Linked DNA regions of Schizosaccharomyces pombe. The protein of the gene in region 1 interacts with the protein of each later gene in a pairwise test. Each region holds a gene or a part of one and is shown in the gene's direction. Other genes may lie near its edges.

Region 1 (9,241 bases):
CCAGCGCCGAGTAAAGTTAAAGATATCAATATTGCTGCAAGTAACACGTCCCAGTGTCTTCTTCCTGCATGGGTATCAGCATTAATATCGTACTGATGGAATTCGCATGATTCCTCTGTACATAAACTTCGAGGCCAAAGAATTATAAGTGGCTCAAGGCATGATCTCCATATCGAGGAAAATCCAGATATTTTATTCTGCTGCTCTTTACTTTCCGAAACATCTAGGCTTTCTGGAAGTATCAACCAAACGTAAAGTAAATAAATAATCCAAAAAGTTGAAGTAATATAAAATACATAATACATATGAGGAGTGTATTGCACAATGAATCCGCTTAAACTAGGTCCCAAAGCGGTTCCTAGATGGTAAGCAGCAAAATTTAATCCTAAATACCATGCACGAAACTCGGTCTTAGAACAATCTGCAACAAAGGAATTTTGGCTGGCTACAACGGTAGAAATATAACCGCCTAAGCCTTTCAAGGCAGCAGCAAAAAGAACAAAATATGGATGCTTGGGGGCATAGGACTGATATAAAAGCCATAAATCACCAAGCAGCAAAAATGAGACGGTAATGAAAAGTACAAGGCGGCGACCATAAATATCCCCCATTGTTCCATAATAAGCGGTGGAAAAAAGACCTAAAAAGGCGGCTAAAGAGCCAAAAGCGGCACGGACTTTTGAAACACCAGTAGTAATTTCCGCTAGTCGGCATATTGGGTCATCTGGGGACAACTGTGTAGGATCAAGGTTATAATGAATGGCACATAGTTCCTGTCGAAGTAAAAAGAGCAGAGGTATTTCAATCATGCCCCAAGAAAAGGCATTAATAAAGTTTAATGGAAGAATCAAAAGTGGAGATAAAGAACGTCTTCTGGCGATTTCACGACAACAGTTATCATTGTTACATATAGATTCATTATTATGATGAGAATTAGATGAATCTGGTTCATTGAAAGAGATGGGTTCATTAGAATTGGAGGTAGAGTCGTAATTTTTAGGCTTCGCCTTAAATGAGTCATGCGAGCTTGACTTTGCAACGTTATTATTGCTTGAACTGGCACCATTGGTTTCATGCTTTAATGAATGAGAATTACCGTTGCATGCAGAACCTTTAGCTTGCAAAGGACAATCAGAACAGTATTCTCTTTCTGGTGAAGGAGTTCTGGATCGAAAGGGCTTGTTCACTGACGGATCGGAAATTAGTAATGGAGTATGATCATCATCGTGTGAAGACATTTGTAGCTCCTTCTCAAAATGGTGGGTACGCTGATAAAATAGAATGTAAATTATAACCCAAATACTCTTCTACTCGAAATGTTCGCAATAATCAATTAACTCGTTGCCCTCAAACTGCAGCATCAATTGTAAAATTCCTTGCACCTATATCCTAAAAATTTTTCTATATGCAATATATACGTTTCACAACGTTTTCGATTTCGAGATAATTAGAAGACTTTAGGTAGTTGGTGCTACTAAGAAGGTTGAGAACCGAAGGAAAATATTTGCTCGAGAAAGTAATTTTGAACTACTAGTTACTATGAAGAAATAACTATATTCCAAAATGACAATGCAATGTAATTGCTTTGTAGTTGGCTAAGCCTTTAGATGTATATATATTAGACGCTTAGATTCTGGACTAGTTTAATTAATGCTGTTACGTTGTGGCGTTATAGTGTCATCGTTAGTCGTTGAATAGTTCTTATAGTGAAATTGGGTATAATATTCGAAAAAAAATTAGCAAACTCGCTATTTTATGCTATTTATTAATTCTTTCTGTTCTTACTGTGAAAGATATTTCTTATATTCCACTTACGTTTGAACTGAGGCTCTTGCTGTATTTTAACTTACGGCTTGCAGTATCAATATAACTATTGCTACTAGAAATTACCTTTAGTCTACGTATTCCATTGAAGCTCTCCGAACGCATCATCTATAGGAAGTTTATTTCTTTTGGAACGGCAAATTTGCCAACTTCTTGTCTGTGAACATATTTTTGTGATTGTATTCTTTCTTCTCAATTCCTTTATTTCATGCTAAGTTGAGCTATTTGATTTCATTTTAGAGCATATACCGGTACATAACTTATTAAATTCTGATTCCATAACAGGAGTGGAATTGATTTACTAATTCTCGGAGTACATTTATTGTAAATTTGAGCATCTCTATTATTTTGGCTTATTTTAGTTAATTATTGACTGTAAACCAACAACATGACTACATTACTGGAAACACCTGGATATAGTGAAAAACTTCATGATTCGATTGAAAAAAAACTTTCTGAATATGGGTGGGGAGAAGAGGCTGCTTCTCTGGCCGATTTTGTTCTTGTGATGCTTAGCAATGGAAAAACACAAACTGAAATTAATGAAGAACTAGTTGATTTAATAGGGTCCGATTTTGATACTAGCTTCTCACTTTGGTTATTTAATCAAATTGAAGAGCTTGAAAAATCAAAAAATGCTTCAGTTGAGTCAGTCAGCAAGATCGACGAAATCGATTTTATCGAGAAGGAGTCAACTGACAAGTCGCAGCAATCTTTCTCTGTGCCGGAAACTAGCATACAACCTCAATCTTCTCAAACTCCTAATATAACTTCGTTACGTGAAGAGAAGGAGCTACCTACTGGGCGTGTCGGACAAAAGCTCAAACTTACATCTCAGAAACAGCGATTCAATCCCATGGCAGCTTCGTTTAACTACTCGAAATCCGTTATGCCTGCTGCCAAGCGTGCTCTCACTCAAACCCAAGAGGTCCCTTTGTGCAAATATGCCGATAAGTGCTCCCGTGCTAACGTATGTATTAATATCAGATAATTTGTTAAAACTAACTCTTTAGTGTATATTTGCTCATCCGACACCAGCCGCAGCCCCAGGAGAAGGTATGGTCCTGAGCAGTGAAATGTGTGCTTCTGGTAAAGAATGCAAAGCTGCTGATGTAAGTACCATAATAATTTAAATCTAACTATTACTAACGTATACAGTGTGTCAAGGGACATCCATCTCCAGCTACGGTTACTACATTACCACCTTTCATGTCCATGTCAACCATTCCAATTCCTTGTAAATATAAACCGTGTTTGAATCCAGCTTGTCGTTTTATCCACCCGACGAAAAGCAGAAATATGACATGGCGGCCACCCTCTAAAACAGAAGAGACGTCCCTGAGTGAACGTTCGTTTGCTGTTAACGAGTCAGAAGAACAACTTCATGTTCCTTCTGTGTAAATTTAGAGAATTATGATACTATTTCGTGTTCGTATAATTGGCACATATCTACTTTTGATAGTCAAGCCAGGATACTTCGTTTAAGAACATACCTTCTAGAGTTTGCAAACTTGATATTTATTTTATTGTATAGATTGCTAAAACGATAAAGTTTTATTTGTCGCTACGTTTGCTGCAATCGGCAATTATCAAGTCGCTAAATTGATTTAAAAAATTTGTTTTCGTTATATTGATGTCTTTTTAGTGAATGAAAATTTTATTTTGATGTGAATTATGCAAATAATGATTTATTTACTTCTTCGGTTAAGTTAATATTATACATATTCAAATACCCACGTTTGTTGACATTCATTACTAAATACATCTTATGTTACTTGTTGGTTACTTGGCTTACACCATGTTGTTGACAACAATCACTTGGTATTTACATTCGCCAGTTTTACGTCTATACACATACCCTTTAGTTAAAAGGTTTTTTTTAATTGAATGGAGGTCCCTTCTTATTTTGACCCCGATTATGATCCTTCGTCTCTTCGAGTAGTAGATTTGCGTAATATATTAACTGAATATCAAATATACTATCCGTCAACGGCGAAGAAAGCGCAGTTAATCACGCTTTTCAGTAAACTACGAAGGGCAAAAAATGGCTTGATCTCTATGACAGAATTGCAGCAAAAGAACGTTCCTCCGTCTTCTCGTAGTCCTCGTAGAAGGGTGGCAGGGGTTACGAATAATGTTACTGCTCGAATTAGCTCTAAGAGAAAAATAAATATGGTTGACGAGGCTAATGATACAGAAATTTCTAAAACTTCACAATTTGAAGATAATGTGATGGGGATGTTACAGGACGAGAACGTTCAAGTTTTGAATACTAACACGATAACCATTTCAGAAGAATCTGAATTTCATGCCTCAAAGATTGCCAAAATAGATTCGCGAAACGAAGAAATAACACATATACCATTTGAGACGCAAACTGAGCTTAATGCGGCAGTTGTAAACCTCGACAACTCAATGGAATCGTCTTTTTCAATTGTCCAGAATTTAACAAACAAGGATTCTTCTGTAGACACCGCTACTTACGATTTTTCTGCAGAAGTTGGTAATATCGTAACACCTGCTTCAAAGTTTTTAGACTATGATCAAAGCTATCTTGTTAATGCCTCCGTGTCGGGTGATCCAACGCCAGTAAAGGTATTGAACACGACGTCTCCAAAAAGCGAAAATCCATTGAACCAAAGTTCTTTTCTCAGTTTCTTAGGCGAAAACCTAAAGCCTAAGTTTACCTCCCGTTCGTCAAGCGTTTACGCTTCTCCTATCAAGTCGTCGTTGAATTCGCTTGAATGTAATCCAAGTAACCTTCTTTCAGTCAGAAAAAATTTTCAACAAAGTTCCGACTCTTATCTCAAATCAAACAAGTCATTTGACCAACTCAACAATTTGGTTGGCTTGTCTACTGGTAATTCGGAGAACTTCACTCCAGAAAATAACAGTTTTTCATGGACTCATCCCAAAAAGAATTCATCATCACCCCTTCCTCAATCTCAATCTTCCTCAATTTTTGTAGAACACCTAAATCAGCTGTACGAAGCAAATGCATCAATTCATCGTCCTGTCAACCCTGCGTTTTCTACAAATTTTGGGTTAGAAGCATCTAATACATCGACGCCAGAGAAGAAAAAATTTGATTCCCAAAAACCCGACGATGATTCGGTTAATGAGATTTCTTCTGATCTCGGTCTTAGTACTACGGGTATTGATCGCGTGGAGGAAAATATTTCCTTGACTAAGGATAGGCAACCTAAAAGGCCATACTTTAGTCTTGGTTCATTCATTTCTTTAATTTTCTCTTTTACCAAAGTGGTAAATTCCTTATGGCTTGTATTGCTTGTCGTACCTCTCTTGGGATTTGTAGGCTTTTGGCATCAAGAAGTACAGCGCGTTGGCTTCTGTGGAGTTCCTGCCGAACCTTATCCTTCTAGTCTATATTATCTCCAACCAGGAGTTTTACGTTCCTCTATTGAGTCTGCATATTCATTTGCTCACTCTTTAGGAATTGAAGCCTCTTGTCAACCTTGTCCTGAGAACGCTGAATGTGGTTTCAATCGTCAGTTATTTTGCAAAGAAGGATTAAAGGCTTCGTTTCCTTTACTTGCAGATTTCGGCTTAAAACCATACCCACGATGTATTCCGAATACCGTGAAGGTTAATAAGGTTGAAGAGATGGTGCAGGCATTTATGTCTATTATCGGAAAGTGGTACTATAAAGCCCCTAAAGAATTTGCCACTTTTGAAAGTGCAAAGAATTTAAACGGAAAATCATTTGTTGACAATTTTAAGGATCGATATTACATGTATAAGCAGGACATCGATAATGTAGTCGGACTTAAAGATTTTAAAGTATATCTGAAGACTACTTTAAACCGTCTATATAATTCAAAGCTGACAAGAAAAGTACTATATTACTTATTTTCTCCACTATTTACTCTTGAGCTATGGAAGCTCCGAGTACGTGGGGCATTGAGTAAATTTCCGACTAATTGTTTGCGATCTGTCTACTCTCATACAGTTTCCTTAATGAAGTATTTGACTTCAGCAGTTATATCCTGTTGGCGAATTTACTTGTTGATTGGTATATTGGCAGCTATTACCGGTACCGTTGTATGGCGAATAAGAGTCTATGCCAAGAAGCATGTAGTAAAGCATGGAGTCTCCGTATGCGTTTCACATTGTATTGCTAAGCTACAAAAAACCAAGCTAAAGTCCTTGACAGATTTTTCTGTCAATCCTCGTGTAGAAGTCGTGCAGCTACGTTCTGACTGTTTTGTATCTGGAGTCGCAGATGACAAGGGCCTTTTTGAACTTGTACATCTCCCTTTGTCAATTCAATTAGAAATATGGGAAAAGGTGGTTTCAGTCCTTGAAGGAATGGTAAGCGTAAAGGTATGGGACAGTGAGCGCTTGGCAAAAAATCGTGCTTGGGAATGGATCGGGGTTTTTTCAGATGACATTGCCTTATAAAATACGGTTAGATATATAAAAAATGACCTTAAGGTCAAACTTTATGAATGTCGTTTGGCATGATGATTTATGAATCTAGATACGAGTGCAGCATCAGTAGGTACTATTATGTCAACATTATTTTCCTCACGTTAATATAATTATTTTTTAGTTATTGCACTTTGTTAAGCACAGGAGCTTATAGATTGAAACACTATCGAAAAATTTAATCAACAGATTCGAAAATTTCATTAATTTAACATTGGTTTTTCTAATTAAAAAAAGAATATCAAATTTAGACCCGAACCGTTTGCATTAGCTGTCTAAAAGAGCATTTCAAATTAGCATTTGGCATCCGGCCTCAATGAAAATAAAGAGTTCCATGTGACAGTTCTTATTTTGAAGGGTTCTGGCATGTTTGTAAAAATTCAATGCCTCGACGGTATTGAACGGTACAGTCTAAAACAGGTCTAATACACTTTTAGAGTTCTAGGACTAAAAATGAACGATAAACAAGGGCCATAAAATGCTCCAAATCAAACAAAAGCCAAACTCGCAAATTGAATTATCTTTATTGCAATATAACTCTAAATACGCAGAAATATGAAATTTATAGAATATGAAATTAAAATAGAATCTGGGAAACTCAACAAAGAAATAATTAACACGTTTAGTATAAGATAAAATAGTAAAGACAAATAAGAAAGATTAATGCAATGCACTTGCTACGAGATTTCGTAAAGCTTTACAAAGTAGTTCAACATCGCCAGAGTAACGACCGGAAGCATAGAAAAACTTTTCGTCCGAATAAACCCAGTGAGCAGTTTTGGGCCCTGGTACGTATTTCGATTCAGGAATATAAGTATAAGTATAAGCCGGAGGATTAGATGCGCCAAATAAATAAGACGCTCTTTCCATATAAAGTGGAGTCGTAGTCGATTTAATCTCAAGATTGGGAGCAGCCCGCTGAACAGCGATTGCTCCTTGAGCCATTGTTGCTAAAACGCGGGTGCCACTAACACGGGCACATAAAGGTATATAGTCAGCTAACAATGAACTGAGACGAGGAGACTCTACAAGTTCTAAAACAGCGGGATCCTGCCCTCCTGGCACATAAACCAAGTCAAAGTTTTCAAAGGTAAAGCTCATATCAGACATATTTGAAGGACTTAAAAATTCTTTGGTAGTTGACATTCTTTCATAAATATCCTTAGTCTTGTATGTGGCACCGATGAACCAAGATTTCACTCCACTTAAAAGGCGCTGATCGGCTTGAGCAACAATACCAGTCAAAGTAGCAAAATTAACCATGAATCCCTCCTTTACAAAAAATTGCCAAGGATCGCAAACCTGAGTAACATCGTACCCAGTGTCTGGTAATACAATACACATCTTAAGCGTTCTATGCTTTCTACCCGATCTACCAACTGGAGTAGGCACCCACAAGGGATTGCTAAAGGGCTGCAACATGGAACCATCACTATTAACTTCACGAACAATGGGCATAGACATGATGATAGATAATTTTTAATAGTTTGTGAGTAAAAACGAGATTACAATAAAATAAACCAGTTGCAATCTATAATAAAGAAAATGGATGCAAACTTATCAAATGATTTCTAATTATAGCTAGAGAAGAATTTATGCTAACAGGAGAAGATTTGACAATCCAAATTTTTGCAGAAGTAGATCAAAGCTTCTTTTAATGAGTTCTGTATTATGAGTAAAATTGGTGGTACAATGTTGAAGACAGGAATGTTTTACGGGTACTGACCTGTATCCGTTGTTAATATTATACTATCACACATTCGTGAATCTTTACAGTTCATTAAAGTGGTACGCATAAAACCGTTATACCTCGTTAAATATTTTTGAATTAATGCAGATTGACCTGATTTTATAATCTATGAGCCGTTAAAGTTGATAATAATTAAATGAATTTTTTTAAAATATATTTACACTCTCTCTTGTGCTATTTGGAAATTTATACTGTCCTTAGGTCGACCAATATTGAATAAAAATTATTTAACGAGTAATGTTATGTTGAATTAATTTCATGAAATCATAATTATATTTGAACAAAAAGCAGCTATATTATGTGATTTTAGTGTAAATAAATGCGGAATTTTTGCGGCATAAAATGTTTTAACTTAATTAGCCTGGAAAGAGAATTTGACGTTTTCAAGTAATTTTACCAAACTCTGGATAAATCTTTTCTCATTCGATCTGATTTTTTGGATGTTCTATAACATTGCTTTTTTATAAAATTTTAATTTAATTTAATATATCTTTGCTTGAATTATCGTATTTCCCAAATTTTTTTGTCAAATTTATGTTTCATTAATATGACACAACTGTTAGCTATAATAACATAATCGTTAGTAGATGAATAAATTAACATTGAGTTTGGTTGAACGTTTTTAGCCAGGGTATTACTTCATCTTAGCTAAAGCTATTGAAAACTGTAGTTGCATGCAACATGTCTACTGTCATCCATTAAATCAGTCACAAGAAGTGCTATAGCTTGTATTAAATTCAAACCAAGAACAACACCTGACACAAGTGTTAATTGGATTTGTTAAAGATGACAACAAATTTGTAAACAATAATCAAAATATTGGTAGCAGAAAAGCTCCAACAAGATCAATCATATGTACAGAGCCACGCCTGCTTTCTCTCCCTTAAATTTCATGATCCGGATAACTTTAAGTACAGCAAATCTTCTACAGCTTCTTTTATTTAATTTCACAGTATTTTAAAAGCCATTTAATACATAAAAAACCTAATATAAGGCTACATTATACACAAGGTCAATAATCTCCTTTAGTATAGGGGTAGTACACAAGCCTGTCACGCTTGCAGCCCGGGTTCGAATCCCGGAGGGAGAGGATTATCTTTTTATAAAGTTTTTTTAAGCTATTAAAAAAAAAAGGATGCTTATATCTATAAAATACCAAATTTACGCTGATTGAGACTAAAAATTGTTTTTTTTTAAGGTAGGGAAAATGGCTGACAA
Region 2 (7,513 bases), 3.5 Mb from region 1:
CTTATGTAGCCAGCAAGGTAAACGAGGCCAAGTCACTTTTGGATGCAGATCGATCAATCCGAAAATTTAGTTCATGGGCACTCCCTGTTTCTAAGCAGCGATCAATGCCTAGTGTTCTTGAAGCGGTGAAATGGCTTGAATACAGCTCCATACCGAAAGCTTAAAAGTGATGAATAATGGTCTGCATCGTTGTTAATATTATTATGTGCTGTATCTGCTGGAGAACTAATGTTTTCTTGCTAAAATTTAGCTGAAAGCTATGATGCCCTTAATAGAACTAATCATTGTGTGAATTATTGTTTGCTTTTCCAAAAAACTTTTACTATTCAGTTGCAGACACCTTTTGTCAATTTATTTTATTTTTTGCTTCTAAAGATGTGTGTTTGCTCCGTATAGTACATCGCCTTCGATTCTTTTCGTACTCTTATATCAATCCTTTTTCGGAAAATGCGAAGGAAACCCCGAAATTGTATTTTTTTTTCTTTCTCTACGCTGGAGCTATTTAGTAATTTGATTTCGAGCGTCAATGATTTTGTCTCCTTTTTGATGGTTGTACCGAGTGTTAATAGTTTAACTCTTTTTTAGATTAAATTTGAGTCTCTCATATGTTTCCGGACACTTACTTTCCAAAACGTTTTCAATGGAAAATTGTCAGGTTCTTTTCCATGCATTCCGAGTATCAATTCACAACAAGGATAAGTTAAAAGAAGAATTCGAGCATTTGATTTCCTTAGTCGTAAACAATATCATTCCTTACAAAATGTATACTCTTTGAAATGATTTTAGTTTTTGACTTTTGCGCTTTGAATGACATTGTTAAAACCTACTTCAGTAACAGTTTATATGAAGTATGTTTATTTAAAAATTTATTTCATAATCATAATTAAAAAAAATGAATTGATTAATAAACATCGAAATTTCGCTTCTAACAATGATTATTAACACAGAAGCTGCCTTTACATATCACTCTGACGTTACCGTATATAAGTGCGTACTGTCAAATTTTTTTTGACTTAAACAAATACGTTCTCTAAGATTTTGTTTCTTAGTAGAGTAGGAAGTTTAGTATATTCATTTTTTTTTAAAGTGCATAAGATAATAAGAAACGCGATGTCTTTTCATATTACGCCCATATGGATGTGGAAAGGAACGGGCAACAACTATGCCTATTTGCTGACTTGTGATAAAACCAAAATCACTGCCATCGTCGACCCTGCTGAGCCTGAGAGGTAAGTGAAGAGAATGAAATAACGACTTAAATACTGTTATCTGTGATTTCGGAAACATGATTTTCTCCTCCTGTTTTCCGAATTGTTTTGTTTGTGCGCTCCGTAACATTTAATTAACCAAACTAACATTGACAAACTCTAGTGTTATTCCTGTCATAAAAGAGAAAACGGCGAAGAAAGAAATTGATTTGCAGTACATTCTGACCACTCATCATCACTATGATCATGCAGGCGGCAACGAAGACATTTTGAGCTACTTTCCTTCTTTAAAGGTCTATGGCGGAAAAAATGCATCTGGTGTCACATACACTCCCAAAGATAAGGAGATTTTCAAGGTTGGAGAAGTTCAAGTTGAGGCTCTTCATACGCCATGCCATACCCAAGACAGTATTTGTTATTACGTTTCCTCTCCTTCAAAAAGAGCCGTGTTTACTGGAGATACTCTTTTTACATCAGGCTGTGGTCGCTTTTTTGAAGGAGATGCCAAACAAATGGACTACGCTTTGAATCACGTCCTTGCTGCTTTACCCGATGATACCGTAACTTACCCTGGTCATGAATACACCAAATCAAATGCCAAGTTTAGTTCCACGATCTTCTCTACTCCTGAGCTTACAAAATTGGTGGATTTTTGCAAGAATCATGAATCTACTACTGGTCACTTTACCATCGGTGACGAAAAGAAGTTCAATCCATTCATGTGCCTTGGGTTAGAATCGGTACAAAAAGCAGTGGGCAGTAGTGATCCAATCACTGTTATGAAGAAATTGCGTGACATGAAAAACGCTGCTTAGACCGACTTTGAATTTATCTGATGATGTTTTATGTATGCCTTGGTAAGCTCGGTTGCTTTGCTTGATTCTACTAGGAGCTAGAGCAAGAATATAGTTGATCTATTTTTCAATTGGATCACATATACGAATTGAAGGCTGTTTAGCGGTGTCAGAGTAAATTGCATCCTGAGTTTATTTTATTCAAATAAATGTTTTCGTTTCTTTACATGTAAGCAATAAAGAGATTGATTATCTTAACTTCGATTAAGTTATTGTATTTACATATAATTTTGGGTGGCCTATACAGTCGCACTTTTACCGTAAATGATTTAACGCGATTAGAGAGGTATCCACACAATAGCATTTACAACTCTGAATATATGCTAAGCCAGTTTTTAATGTTTATTTAACTTGCCATCAACCAAGTAGTAAGTGTTGATAGGTGTTTTGGTGCCTACTAATTAATATAATTATCATAAAATCGCGTTCATTTATTCACTCTTTCTTATTTAATTGACTTCTTCACCAATTTATTTGAATTCACCAAATATCTCTTAGGATTACTCACTCATTTCATGACTCCAACTATGAAATCAATAGCCCGTAGGAAGGCTTTGTTAATTGCACTATCTATATTTGCTGTTACGTTCATTTTATGGAATGGATTCCCAGGCTCATCAAACCGACCTTTACCATCTTCAAACGACGAATTCCATTATGAGGACATCGAGCTTCCTTCAGGCTACAGAAGTGAAGGAGAGGTAGTCGATCTTTTGAATCCCAAGGATGAGTTAGAGGAACCTCTTTTTTCCGAAGAACCTTTATTTCCTGTTACTACCTCTATCCCTACTAAGACTGCTGTTTCTAAACCTAAAATAGCTCCAACCAGTGCGGCAAAGGATGTAACATTTTCTTCTTCTATTGACTCAGATGATTGTTCTGTGGCTTATGATAACAGCAAGCCTGTTCGTCAATATGTTTTGATGATCGATGCTGGTTCCACTGGGTCTCGTGTTCATGTTTACCAATTTAACAACTGCAATCCTTCTCCCAAATTAGAAGAAGAGTTTTTTAAAATGATAGAGCCTGGCTTATCTTCTTTTGCCGGTGATCCTGAAGGAGCAGCGGCATCCTTAGACCCACTACTTGACTATGCCATGGAAAACGTGCCTGAGGAATATCGTCGTTGTTCCCCTATTGCTGTAAAAGCAACCGCTGGTTTACGATTGACTGGGGAAAGTGAGGCTAAAGCTATTTTGAAATCAGTGCGACAACATTTGGAAAACGATTACCCTTTTCCTATTGTAAAAGACGGTGTTTCTATCCTTGAAGGTTCCATGGAAGGTATATATGCGTGGATTACCATTAATTACCTTCTAGGAACTTTGGGTGGTAAAGCCACGCACTCTACTGTCGCTGTAATGGACCTCGGTGGTGCTTCTACACAGCTTGTTTTTGAACCACGTTTCGCTTCTGATGGCGAATCGCTTGTTGATGGTGACCATAAGTATGTTTTAGACTACAATGGTGAGCAATATGAACTTTATCAACATTCTCACTTAGGTTATGGTTTGAAGGAAGCTCGAAAGCTGATTCATAAATTTGTGCTGAATAATGCAGAGGCCCTAAAGGAGTCATTGGAGTTGCTCGGTGATTCCACTAGCATCATCCATCCATGTTTGCATCTCAACGCTAGTCTAACGCACCCGGATTCAAAAAGCGAAGCTTCTGAGGTCGTGTTCGTTGGCCCTTCGTTAGCCCATCTTTCTCTTCAGTGTCGTGGTATAGCAGAAAAAGCCTTGTATAAAGACAAAAATTGCCCAGTCCGTCCTTGTTCTTTCAATGGTGTTCATCAACCCAAGTTCACTGAGACGTTTACTGATTCTCCCATTTATTTAATCAGTTATTTTTACGATCGTATGATCAGTTTAGGCATGCCAAGCACTTTTACCATTGAAGATATGAAATATTTGGCAAATAGTGTTTGTAGTGGACCAACATACTGGCAGGACGCCTTTTCTTTAACTGACGCCCTTAAAGAGTTGAAAGAAGAGCCAGAGTGGTGTTTAGATTTGAATTATATGATTTCTTTACTTTCGGTTGGGTATGAAATCCCCAATAACCGACAGCTCCATACTGCTAAGAAAATTGACAACAAGGAACTTGGATGGTGTTTGGGAGCTAGTTTGTCTATGTTGTCAGAGCAAAACAATGGTTGGAATTGTAACGTGAAAGAAGAAATTTAGTTTTTACCTTCTTTTATTATGTTGAATGAACAACAAGCATATGTAAACTTGTTTGCTTAAAACCTCAGGAGGTCAAGGGTTAATATAGTTGATCCTGTTTTTTTTCTTGTTTTTTCTTTTTTCTTTTTTCTTTTCTACATTCGTCCATATTATTTCCATGTCTCAAAATTCGCTACTCCGCTCCTTTCAGTGTTAACTTCTTTACGGGCGTATAGCAAATCTAACATTTGTTGTACAACTAACATTAATAGATTGAGGGACATTCTTTATTCCACTGGTTTGTTTCATGTAAATCAAATCTTTCAAATTTCTGGGAAAGTTGAAATTGATCAAGGCAATTTTCCCAAATATCGTAGGCATCTTTTTACGGAATACATACAATGTGTGCTAGCTTTTAATACTTAATAAACTTTCAGCGATAATAGACCTAATAAATACATTTATGTCATTTATATTTACTGAAAAGTAGAAAATGTATTATAATGAAGGTTGAATATAGGAATCCATAAATGCCGACATCGATTGATGAACTTAAATAGCTAAATTAATGAAATATTTCAAAATAAGTAGTAAAAACCTCTGTTAATTTGTATAAGCGTCACTAAAGGCTATTTCCAAACATCATGAGAATTAATAATCTTACTGTCTAAAGAAGATCGCGGCCGAGAAGAATTGGATTGAACGGGTGATGCTCTAGCAGATGGTTGTGCACTGGTCACATTAGAAGTGAACATAGGCATCTTCCACTTATCTGCCACAAAGGAGGATCCTGTCGTAGCCGGTTGATGAAAAGCACCATAAGGTTGGCTAGACGTAGTACTAGTTGAAACTGGGGACGGTAGATTTTGGTATGTTGCATTGGTGGTTATGCTTGAAGAACTTACTTGTGGTCGTGGAGATGCATATAAGGAGAGAATTGAAGACTTTAAATCTCGTTGTCTAGTCGAAGGAGCATGCACAGTAGAAGGTTGCTTGGATAAAGAAGCTAAATTAGGAGACGACTGGGCTAAAGAAGTGGTAGCTGATATAGCTTCTTTCTTGGAAGTAACGTTGGTAACTGTAGCAGAAGAAGTGCTTTTAACTGAGTGAGCACTGGAAGATCGAGAAGCAGTATTAAGATCTAAAGAGGCGTTGACTTCTGAAACAGGTCTGGTATTCTGTTCCGGTTTTAGCGTTTCCGGAGAAGGAATTTCAGGGTAGAGTACCCATTTTTTAAATTCGTATTTCGTCTTTATAAAAGTCGCAATTTTACTAAATCTAGGTCAGAAAATATGCAGTAAAAAAAACAAAAAAGAAGCTTCCAATTTGCTAGCAACGTGTAAAGGGTATGTAGCCTAGAAAGATAACATTCAATGCCAGCTATGCTAAGGATTATCAATAAAAACCTACCTATCAGAGGGAACGTGACCACCCGCAAGTTTGGCTTCCCAATACCTATTAAAGTTGTTAGTTTTTATATTTTAGGACGTGAGCGCAAAGTTTTTTTGAAAAGTAGACAAACTTACAAATTAGCACGTTCATTTCCCCATCTTGTCATATTTTCAGTTTGTTCATCTGTCCATGAATCCAAATCAACAGATTTTACTAGTTTTGTCTGTTAATTTCTGATTCTGAGTTTTTTAACATTAAATTTTGTATCCTAGGTAATCATACCACGACTAACATGAACTCCAAGACTTCGATGCACTCCTGAGCATCTAACAAGTGTTAATGATTTCAATTTTAAGCAGCTATTACTTACCTGATACAAATGAAAACACCCAAGTTCCAACTTGCCCATCGTGGTTGTTCATTGCGCTTACAATCCGCGCAAACTTTGTTGTAAGGTTCCCGCAAAAGCGACTTTAAAACGAGGGCATTTGATTCCTTCTTTTTGCTTTTTGAATTTATCATTACACTTCAAGGATTACTAGGCAAATTATAAAACTGGTTAAGTCTAGTGATTTTGGGTCAATGAACAATCTACCGTATTGCAATGTTACAGTGCACAATTACGTCCCTTTGTTTTGAATAGCAAAGAAAAGCATCCTTCCTTTTCTGATGATTACGCGGTTTTTTATCAATCAACATCGTTAAAAACATTTAGCATTAAATATTATTATAATTAGCCACAGTACGTTGCAGTTCAAAGAGGTATACACAATTTGAATAGAAGTCATATATATAACAAAAGCGCAACTTGTGACTAATAATTAGATTAAAAACAGTTAGAAATATAATAGTTATTATTTAATTTTTTAAAAGTCTTTGAGGAGCAAGCAAAAAGTCCAAGTGAGAACTCTGTTGTTCAGTCTCAGCATACAGTAGTGTCAATCGATAATATGTATTGCCGAGAGGGGACTGATGTCTTCATGTGTTGCTAGCAATAAAAAAAGATAACAAGGAAATTCGATAAATACATGTTCATTTGCAAAGTTTGCCATAATTTGCCATTATGTGTTTATATGGTAAATCTGCCAATCTGACATAAACATATTTAAAAAAAAAAAAAAAGAGGAACAAAATATGAATTTATCCCAGCTTCTTAGAAAAATAGCATAACCAGACTTCTTCATCATAACTTGCTTGTATTTTTTTTTGCTAATGTACAAAAGCAGCAACAATTAAAAATCTATAATTACAACTGTGTTTACATAGCAACAATTACATTCAAACCCTTATTTATCTTTAGCTATACAGCTATTCTCAAACGAATTTCTCAAGAGGCAACATAGTACTTGATAAAGATTCAAACTTGATACACTACATCTTGACCCTATCTTTGAGTTCAGTTGGTAACCCAAACTTAGAAGCATATGGAACAGAAGAAACGGAGAAGGCAGATATTCATGCACCCTCATTTTTGTTAACAAATTTATCTGCTGAGGTTTATGAGTAACGATTTTGCATGCATAAATTCTTTATTTAACGAGTAAAATTACGTTATTATTAGACACGATTTTGAATGCATGAAGAGCAGTGCATGCTAAATTAATAAATGGTAAAATTAAAGAAATTAGGTTATCTAGAATGTCAAACCTTAGGTTATTTAGAATGTCAAACCATAACGACAAAAGGTATTTTACATTTCTCAAGTCACTCGTAATCAATTCAATGTGAAAGAAAACAAAGGCGTTCATAAACTAGAATGTGATGTTAAGCGCCTAACAAAAATTTGTATAAGTATAATGTTAGATGCATTTTTCGAGTAAGAGAACAAGAACTCATACTACGACACGGGACTTGATAAAAGCAATAACGTCAGAAAAAAGCGAAATCTAATTTA
Region 3 (7,829 bases), on another chromosome or scaffold:
AAATTTCACAGTCAACCGATCTAGAAAGGAAAGGGCATCTCAGTTCAACAGGCAATACTGTTTCCATCACAGTATTGGCTAGATAATTTTGAATGGGAAACGCACGTGCGTGATTACCTATAGAGAGCATAAACAACAACCATCCAACTTCTTCTTGACTTATCGTTTTGCTTTGGAAAATTGGTTCATTGCTATATTTTGGTAAAGAACTTTTAACACTAACTTCAGGACTCTGCTCCAACTGGATATTGCACATGTAACTTTTGTTGCAAATGGCGGCCCAACTAGTTTGTCCTTGGAATGAATAAACGTCTCCCGGTCGTACCAAGTACATTCTAATATTGCCAATCCGCTTTTGTACGCACCAAAGATGAAATTTCGTGTACTTATTGGAAGTGACCTGCCGGGACACGTAGATGATCATTGCTCTCCATAGGGAGTCCTTCATGTCGTCAGTGTAATAATCGTATAGTAAAACATGTCGAATTAATACTGGCAAGCTATAGTTGCCGGTAGAAAAATGCATCGAAAGGCTTAATCCATCTACTCGATTCTTCTTTAAAAAAGCCCCTAATCGTTTCTGCACCAAAGGCATATCTACTTTGAACTCGTACACCTGTTCCTGCATCGGTGAATATTCAGAAGACACTTGCTCAACACTTTTGAGATATAGTTTATCCTGTCGACGCATAACAATATCCACTAACCCCCCTAAAAACGGATTCTTTATGAGACCTTTATTTCTCCCAGACACTACTACGATACCCAAGCTTTTACCTGTTAAATTCTCGATGGATAGATTACGATCCAACTTGGATAACCAATCCTGACTCGTAACATTAATATTCACATCGCCCGTAGCCTTAGCAGGACTGTTGTACTCGGCTTTGCGAGATTGATAGCCCGGATCCGATTTAAAAAACTGCTGGATTTTCCTTGTAGTCTTTCTCAAGAAAGAGTTTTCCTGACCTTCATCATCAACTTCTCTCAAAATATCCAAACCCGATTGATTAGATATCGACATATTGTCGAATGTCGGTAAAATACTTTGAAACTTTTAAAACTTCGAGAATCGTAGAAAAGAAGAAAAAGGATACCAATATCCAGAATCTCAAAACCACAGTGCGTCCAACTTAAAAATAAAAGGTAATGAAATGAAGTAAAAAAAAAAAATTATTAAAATTTGGTTCTTTCCAAAGGGCTTTGTTTCCTGTTAAATACTAAATATGAAATCGTTTATCTTAGCTTAGCCATTTTGCCATCTTCATCATGCTTTTCCTAACAACGCTCCCCAAGCCACGTAAAACATCAACTTTCGCAACTCGTCCTATTTCAAGTTTACGAAGACATCCAATTTCCTAATCGTCTCTACCCTATAATATTTTGTATAATCATGGTCTAAGCCATTTCATCGTAGCGATGAGCCTCTCGTAAGTTAATTAATGGCGCAGCATATCAATTTTAATCAACTTGTAATAGAATAGAGATGATCATGCTGTCTATTGCTTATAGTTACAAGACTAGATTTCCTTTCTCAACATGCAATAAGGATTGAAAAGTAAAAATGAACTACTTGTATGAAATTTTCGTTTTCGTGCTTAATTCATGATTATGACCTTTTGGAGTCAGTGACATACACCGTTTCCATTGACAGACATTATTGAATTTTTTTTTTACAATGGGGCAACAGTCAATGTTGGCGCAAGCTTAAGATGCAAATGCAATCTTTCATTTAAAAGCGGCTTGTTTCATCAATACATTTGACATTTAACGATGGCTTGTAGGCATTGTTGTAGACATCCACTCAGCCTACATTTTGTCAATACTTTTCTACACAACTTCTCAAACTCGTTCCTTTGTAGCTTAAAAATTAAGCGAACTTAAAAACTATTAAACTTTTTGTTAAACGAATTATTTGCATAAAATACCAAAAAGATTTTTTGTTGACTTTCACCTAACAAATTAAGAGCGGTTGGTTTTATTAAAAAGAAAATTTATTAAGATATTTCTCATTGCATTCCACTTCAATGCGTCGTAGAGCATATCATAAGTAAGGCTCTAAAAATAAGCCACAAACACTGATCGTTCTTCTGGTACAATGGTTCAAATTTTTTTTTTCTAGGAAGCTCGAAAAAGAAAATACAAACAAAAAAAAATTAAACAGCTCATTTCTTCAAAAACTCCTTTTATCCTCAATTTGTTTGAACTTTGTTCTGACAACCCGCTACGAATTGGCTTGGGACCCTGCTGACGGTCGGCCTTTTCCCTATTCTCACCACGAGCACCGTGGGGAAACTGTATAGTCGAAATCTTCGAGTTTTCTTGCTCAACATTTCAAGAAAACTTTTATACTATTCAAGTGTATCTAATTGTTACTTCACTCGTTATTTAGTACTTCTCTTTTACTTTGTCAAGCAGCACAAGTGTTTGATAAAGGTCATTCTGTATAAGGGGTCCTCTGTACCATTACACCTTGTACCTTGATATAAAAGATATTTACATGCATTTTATTTCCGTTAACTCACAGAATATCAGTTGTTTGGTTTTCTTCTTACGTGTGCTGGTTTGACTTGTTGTTTCCCTTTTTTTTTTTAAATTTGCACACACAGGATTCTATGAGAACTTTGCATTAAATGGTATAATGGGAAATGGAATCTAGCCGATTGTTTACACTTGGATTGGGAAATTCCGATGATGGATTGAAATCCACTTTTGGTGATAAAACAGTAACTTGTTTTTATTGCAACAAGAAGAAGGAAAAAATTAGAGACGGAACGTCTACTTGGACTTGCTCAATTTGTGAAGCCACCAACCATATTGATGAGAAAGGTGATATCCTGGATTATCGACCTCCAACCCCAACTCAAGACAAGGGTGTTGGTCCTTTTTACGCGATACGGGATTTCCCAAGCAGTTCTTCCTTTCAGAGCCCCTTTTGTGAAAAATGTCAAATGAACCAACTGATTGTGAATCGGATGCTTGCTGATTATCTGCCAGACTCATCACATCCAGATTATCAGGCTTATGAGAAGGCATTACCAGAGTATAAAAAATCTATAGAAGAGAAATTTCCCATTGTTTGCTCTGAATGCTATGACTCCGTTCAAGACCAACTTGATGCCAATGATTATGAAGCCAAAAATCAGGTTTTAGGATATTGGCTGCAAAAGTCAAAGGAACAGCTAAACGCAAAAGTCCCCCATCACTATCCAAAAGCTTCTTTTGTTCTTTGGTTACTTCGTGGATTTGGTTTTTCGTTTTTCTATTTGCAATCGATTGTGTGGCATTTGTATCATTCTATGATAATAAGCTTATTACCAGATGGTATTCGTAATTTATTTCTAAAAGCAATCTCTTACTTCCTATTAGATGGATCCTCTAGCAAAATTTTTTACTTTAATTGGCTTGGTTTTTTCGTTGTCTTTTGGAACCCGTATTGGTACAAAATGATGGACAATCCATCTTGGGAGCTTTTTGGGCGGGATCAGTATATCCAATGTCAGGCACTTTATCTTATTATCCGTTTAACTTGCTTGTATCTCCTTTCATGTTATGAGTCGGAAATTTTGAACTTAAGCTCGGATACCAATCTTGAAAGTGATTTTTTACTCCGTCAAATACATGCAGCCTTTTTCTTTGTTACCATTTGTTTTACATGGATTAGCATCTCATGTTTAAAGCCAAGTCCTCCTCCAGAAGTTCATTTGACTGGCGAAATTTTGAAACCACGCAAGAAGCGTCAGGAAAGTACATCTTCTGTGCATCGGATAGGAAAGGAATCGAGTGACAGAAAAGATGGAATTAGTGGGCAGAATAAATTGCAGCAATTTGCGACAATTTCAATTCTGAATAATACCAACGCAACGTCTCATTTGGGAAATCAGTCTGTTCGTGAGAGAGCTCCGGAGGAATCCCCTATGACTTTTCTTCAAAAAAAAATGGCCGCCCTTCCAACATCTAGTCCTGTTCGACCGATGCTTAAACCTACTCTTCAGCTTCAAAATTCTCCTTTATCGAAACTGGTTCCTCAAGAAGTGGGCAACAAAGTAAACGATTCTATTCATACGACGTCTAATCAGCCAAGTAAATTTTCCCTGAACCCTTCCATATCTCTAAAAGGTGATAACGTGATAGAGAAGAATTTACCTTTTTCCGTGTCTACTTTAAAGTCCACTGCAAAGAAAGATACTGGTAAAGCAGGGGATGGTCAAAATCGCGAAATTCAAAATGAGCCAGTGAGCCTTGAAAGTCATTTTAGTAAGTCTTTAGCCCTTCAGAACGATCCAACAGAAGTTATTCAGGTGAAAAACGTTCTTCACCGGAATCGTCGAAATGCAAAGCTTCTCATTGCTTTCACAATTTTGTTCCTCGTTGGGTTAATTTGCGGATGGCGTTTGAATCGTTTTACTATGTTCATTTACTATTTATGCATATTGGTGTTAGCCACATATTATGTTATGAAACACAACTTTTATCCTTTAAGAAAGGTGGCTTGATCTGGTTACTATTTAAAGAAGTGGATGCAAAGTAATATGGAATATATTCTTTTGCAAACCAATCATTCATTAATTTATCCAATTTTGGAATAAATTTCGTTACTAATATTGCCAGAGGCGGTTATGTCGCTATCATTTGTTTAAAGTTTTTCAGCTCCTTTCTGGCAACTCGACATATTCGAGCTAGCGCATTCGCACAAATGGGATCCAATATAAATTTACTTTTTTTTTCCTATTAAAGCTATATAATTAAGTATTTTTCATACTAACGAGTTTTATTTGATAAATTTCATTCGTTTCAATAGGTTAGTACTGAAAGAGAACATGTAACCTGAGCAAACTTCTGGTTCATACGAATACTAGCAATGGTGCATTCCCGAATATATGTTAGACACGTCGTTAAATTAGTTTAGGTTATAAAATCGTTAGAGTTAAACAATAACTTAAGAGAAATGAGCCGAGAATACTAGGATATTCAGATTTTCATTACTTTCTAATTCCGCTCAGGATTCTATGTGCAGGTAACATCAGGTGACCGAAGGATTCATTGGCATACTATAGGGCCATGAGATCTTACCTTCTTCCAATATTCAAAACTAAGAGTTTTATTGATTTCAGTGCAAATTTTGTAGTGACGAAATTTTTTTTTGCTGAAGTGATTGTTTAAGTATGAAACCTGTGTCTCTTGCCAAGTATATTCAAAAATCACCATTTTTGACGAAATTGCTTTTACCCATCTCCAATGCCTATGTGCATTTGTCAGGATACCGTAAATATGGTCTTCGATACGACGATTTGATGTTGGAGGAGAATGACGATACTCAAAAGGCGTTATCTCGTTTGCCTAAGATGGAATCCTACGATCGAGTCTATCGTATTCGCCGTGCCATGCAACTTAGCATTGAGAATAAAATTTTGCCAAAATCTGAATGGACAAAGCCTGAGGAGGATTACCATTACCTCAGACCTGTTTTAGCTGAGGTTATCGCGGAGAGGAAAGAGCGTGAGGCCTTCGACGCTCTCATTGTTAAGAAACCCGAGACTCAAGCCCATGCAACATCTTCTCCTGCTCATGCTCATTAAAAGTTTGCATGTCCTCCTTTAATCCACTTATTCCTCTCATGAAAACCGACAAGAAAATTAAAAGAGTAGTAAACGGATGTGAGAATTTTATTTTCTAAGTAACCCCCAACTCCAATTTCTAAAAAGGAAGACAATTTATGCACGTATCTTATTTCATCGGTTATATCAGTCGACAAAGTACGTGGAAACGAAAGTTTTTATATTGCTGTTTATCTGTACTTTGACTTTACTATGTGTGCGATTAATTTTCTACGCCGCTCTGTTTTTGCTTTGCTCTATTTTAACTACTGGTATATCTCCCATCTCTTTGACCTCTCCTCTCTATGCTTTCAGTTTTCATATTTTAATTGAACAACGATTTTTTCTTATTTTTTATTTTTTGTAGCTGCTTTTTCCTTGACTGTTATCTTTGAAAGAGAAACAATTTTTTTGTTTCTTAGTTTCGCTTTCTGAAGATGATTTTGCAATTATTCTCTCGCTGAATCAATTATAGCTAATGGTTGGTATAACATAAGTTAGTGAACAAAACATTGTAAGGCAAACCAACTAATGTAGTATTTTTTTTAAATCGTGATATCAAATTTTAAACTTGTTAAACAGACAAACTTATTTTGAGAAATTTTATGACAGTTTGGCATTGTATTTATTGATTTAATTAAGCTTACTCCTATTTGACTTTAGGCATACTCTTCCTTGTACGACTTCAAGCTCATGAGCTTTTCACTATCTGAAATGTTGTACCCAGAGTCATAATATATGAACCTCCGATCGACGTAAAGTATTATTGAATTTAATTTTATTTATTTCCGCGTTTGTTTAACTTGTTTGAGGAACTTGAAAAATTACAAGAAAATCATGTACAATTTTGTTCGAAATATTTATTGAATATGCAGGGGAAAATCAATTATAAAGACATTACTCAGAAAGAAATGTTCAATGAAATATTTAAAGAATATGTTAAGGAAGAGAAGCAGATCGATTTGGGTACTTGTGATCAAGATTCTGTACACGACCTCTGGCGACGCTTTGTAAAAAGATGGAATGATGGAAAAATGAAAAGTAAATGGTATTCGTTGGGAAAGAGAATATCTCAACCCTCTTATGCTCGTCTTGTAGGTCCAAGTCGACCAACTTTGGAAAATTTACAAGATCGACGAGAATTGCAGGAGCAATTAAACGAGTTGAGAAAGCTATCCCGAAAATCAGCTTTTAAATCGCAAGCTAAAAGGGAGACAGAATTGTTGGATGAAATTCTTCCAAAAGAACCAGCAGGAAGCAAAGAAGCTATGCAACAGAAAAAGAAGGAAAAACGAGCTGCTTTGAAGCATTATCGCGAAGCATCTGACAATGAAGAAGACTTGAAAGAAACCGACTTATACGGAGACCGGGACTCATTTCAGTCCCGATTGAAGCAAAAAAAACAACGGTCAGAATTCAGGGCTTCAAAACGAGAAATGGAAAGACTTGAGCGCGACCAAGAGCTTCGAAATAAAATTGAGGAAAGAAATAAAAAAGAGTTAGAAACAATTGAAAAGCTACGAGAGTTAGCCAAGGCTAGGTTGCAAGGTTTTTCTAGTTGATCATTTTAGCAATTACGCCGACATTTATAAAACCAAAGAAGTGTGCAACTATTCATTATGATTAGAGCTTTTTAACTATGAGTCAAACATAATGAGTATTTAATTTCTCTCAACTTAAGATGTATATGACTTTATATTAAAAATTCACAAATTTAATCAAAGTATAAAAAATGAAAAGCGTTTTAGAGTTGTTCGATTAAATATTTTAACTATAACCAAAAAGAAGTCTATTGAGCATTAATAATTCGTAAATAGTGCGTCTATAACCTAACCTAGTGTAAAGCATTGTCATTCTTCAACGAAGCTGGTATAGGTGCAACCTCAATTCTTTGGATTTCCAATGACTTGTCTCGTAGAAAAGGGGTGGCCTTTCCAAAAAGCCTTGGTTTACCATGATTGCGTTCACAAAGAAGTAACTGATCAAACAGTGCCACTCGGGGATCATTTAGATCAAGCTCGCATCGATCGCCAATGAATTCTGCAAATGCCTGTGAGCTACAAAGTGATGAAATCCAACTCCCGTGAACTTTGGAAGCTTGCCGAGTAAATTTATTGAAGTCGAATGATCCTATAAGACCACCACTTCCTTTAGAAATACCAAAATTTTCACGAGACATATGAGGTTTGCGTAAATAATTCCGATATGACCCTAAGATTTTTATAAAGAATT

What was found.
Region 2: the proteins of man1 (region 1) and gda1 interact in a two-hybrid assay, tested with the Schizosaccharomyces pombe proteins (2 studies listed by BioGRID).
Region 3: the proteins of man1 (region 1) and ima1 interact in a two-hybrid assay, tested with the Schizosaccharomyces pombe proteins (2 studies listed by BioGRID).

Annotation. Positions count from the first base shown.
Region 1 is NC_003424.3:5,232,789-5,242,029, reverse strand, and holds man1 (LEM domain-containing protein Man1), read left to right. Parts: upstream 1-3,651; 5' UTR 3,652-3,711; coding exon 3,712-6,246; 3' UTR 6,247-6,874; downstream 6,875-9,241. Other genes in the region: SPOM_SPAC14C4.07 (transporter), read right to left, coding at 1-1,238; poly(A)-binding protein Nab2, read left to right, coding at 2,213-2,794, 2,838-2,936, 2,983-3,225; SPOM_SPAC14C4.04 (uncharacterized protein), read right to left, coding at 6,934-7,737. UniProt on the Schizosaccharomyces pombe protein: Required for correct meiotic chromosome segregation.
Region 2 is NC_003424.3:1,695,461-1,702,973, forward strand, and holds gda1 (Golgi nucleoside-diphosphatase Gda1), read left to right. Parts: upstream 1-2,410; 5' UTR 2,411-2,577; coding exon 2,578-4,248; 3' UTR 4,249-4,702; downstream 4,703-7,513. Other genes in the region: TIM23 translocase complex subunit Tim14, read left to right, coding at 1-164; hydroxyacylglutathione hydrolase Glo2, read left to right, coding at 1,111-1,229, 1,372-2,023; SPOM_SPAC824.09C (GTPase-activating protein), read right to left, coding at 4,857-5,499, 5,638-5,682, 5,754-5,832, 5,902-5,945, 5,990-6,141. UniProt on the Schizosaccharomyces pombe protein: After transfer of sugars to endogenous macromolecular acceptors, the enzyme converts nucleoside diphosphates to nucleoside monophosphates which in turn exit the Golgi lumen in a coupled antiporter reaction, allowing entry of additional nucleotide sugar from the cytosol.
Region 3 is NC_003421.2:1,885,292-1,893,120, reverse strand, and holds ima1 (inner nuclear membrane protein Ima1), read left to right. Parts: upstream 1-2,256; 5' UTR 2,257-2,648; coding exon 2,649-4,496; 3' UTR 4,497-5,018; downstream 5,019-7,829. Other genes in the region: SPOM_SPCC737.04 (uncharacterized protein), read right to left, coding at 1-1,024; qcr7 (ubiquinol-cytochrome-c reductase complex subunit 6), read left to right, coding at 5,166-5,579; SPOM_SPCC297.06C (uncharacterized protein), read left to right, coding at 6,467-7,159; SPOM_SPCC297.05 (diacylglycerol-binding protein), read right to left, coding at 7,432-7,829. UniProt on the Schizosaccharomyces pombe protein: Inner nuclear membrane protein that specifically binds to heterochromatic regions and promotes the tethering of centromeric DNA to the SUN-KASH complex.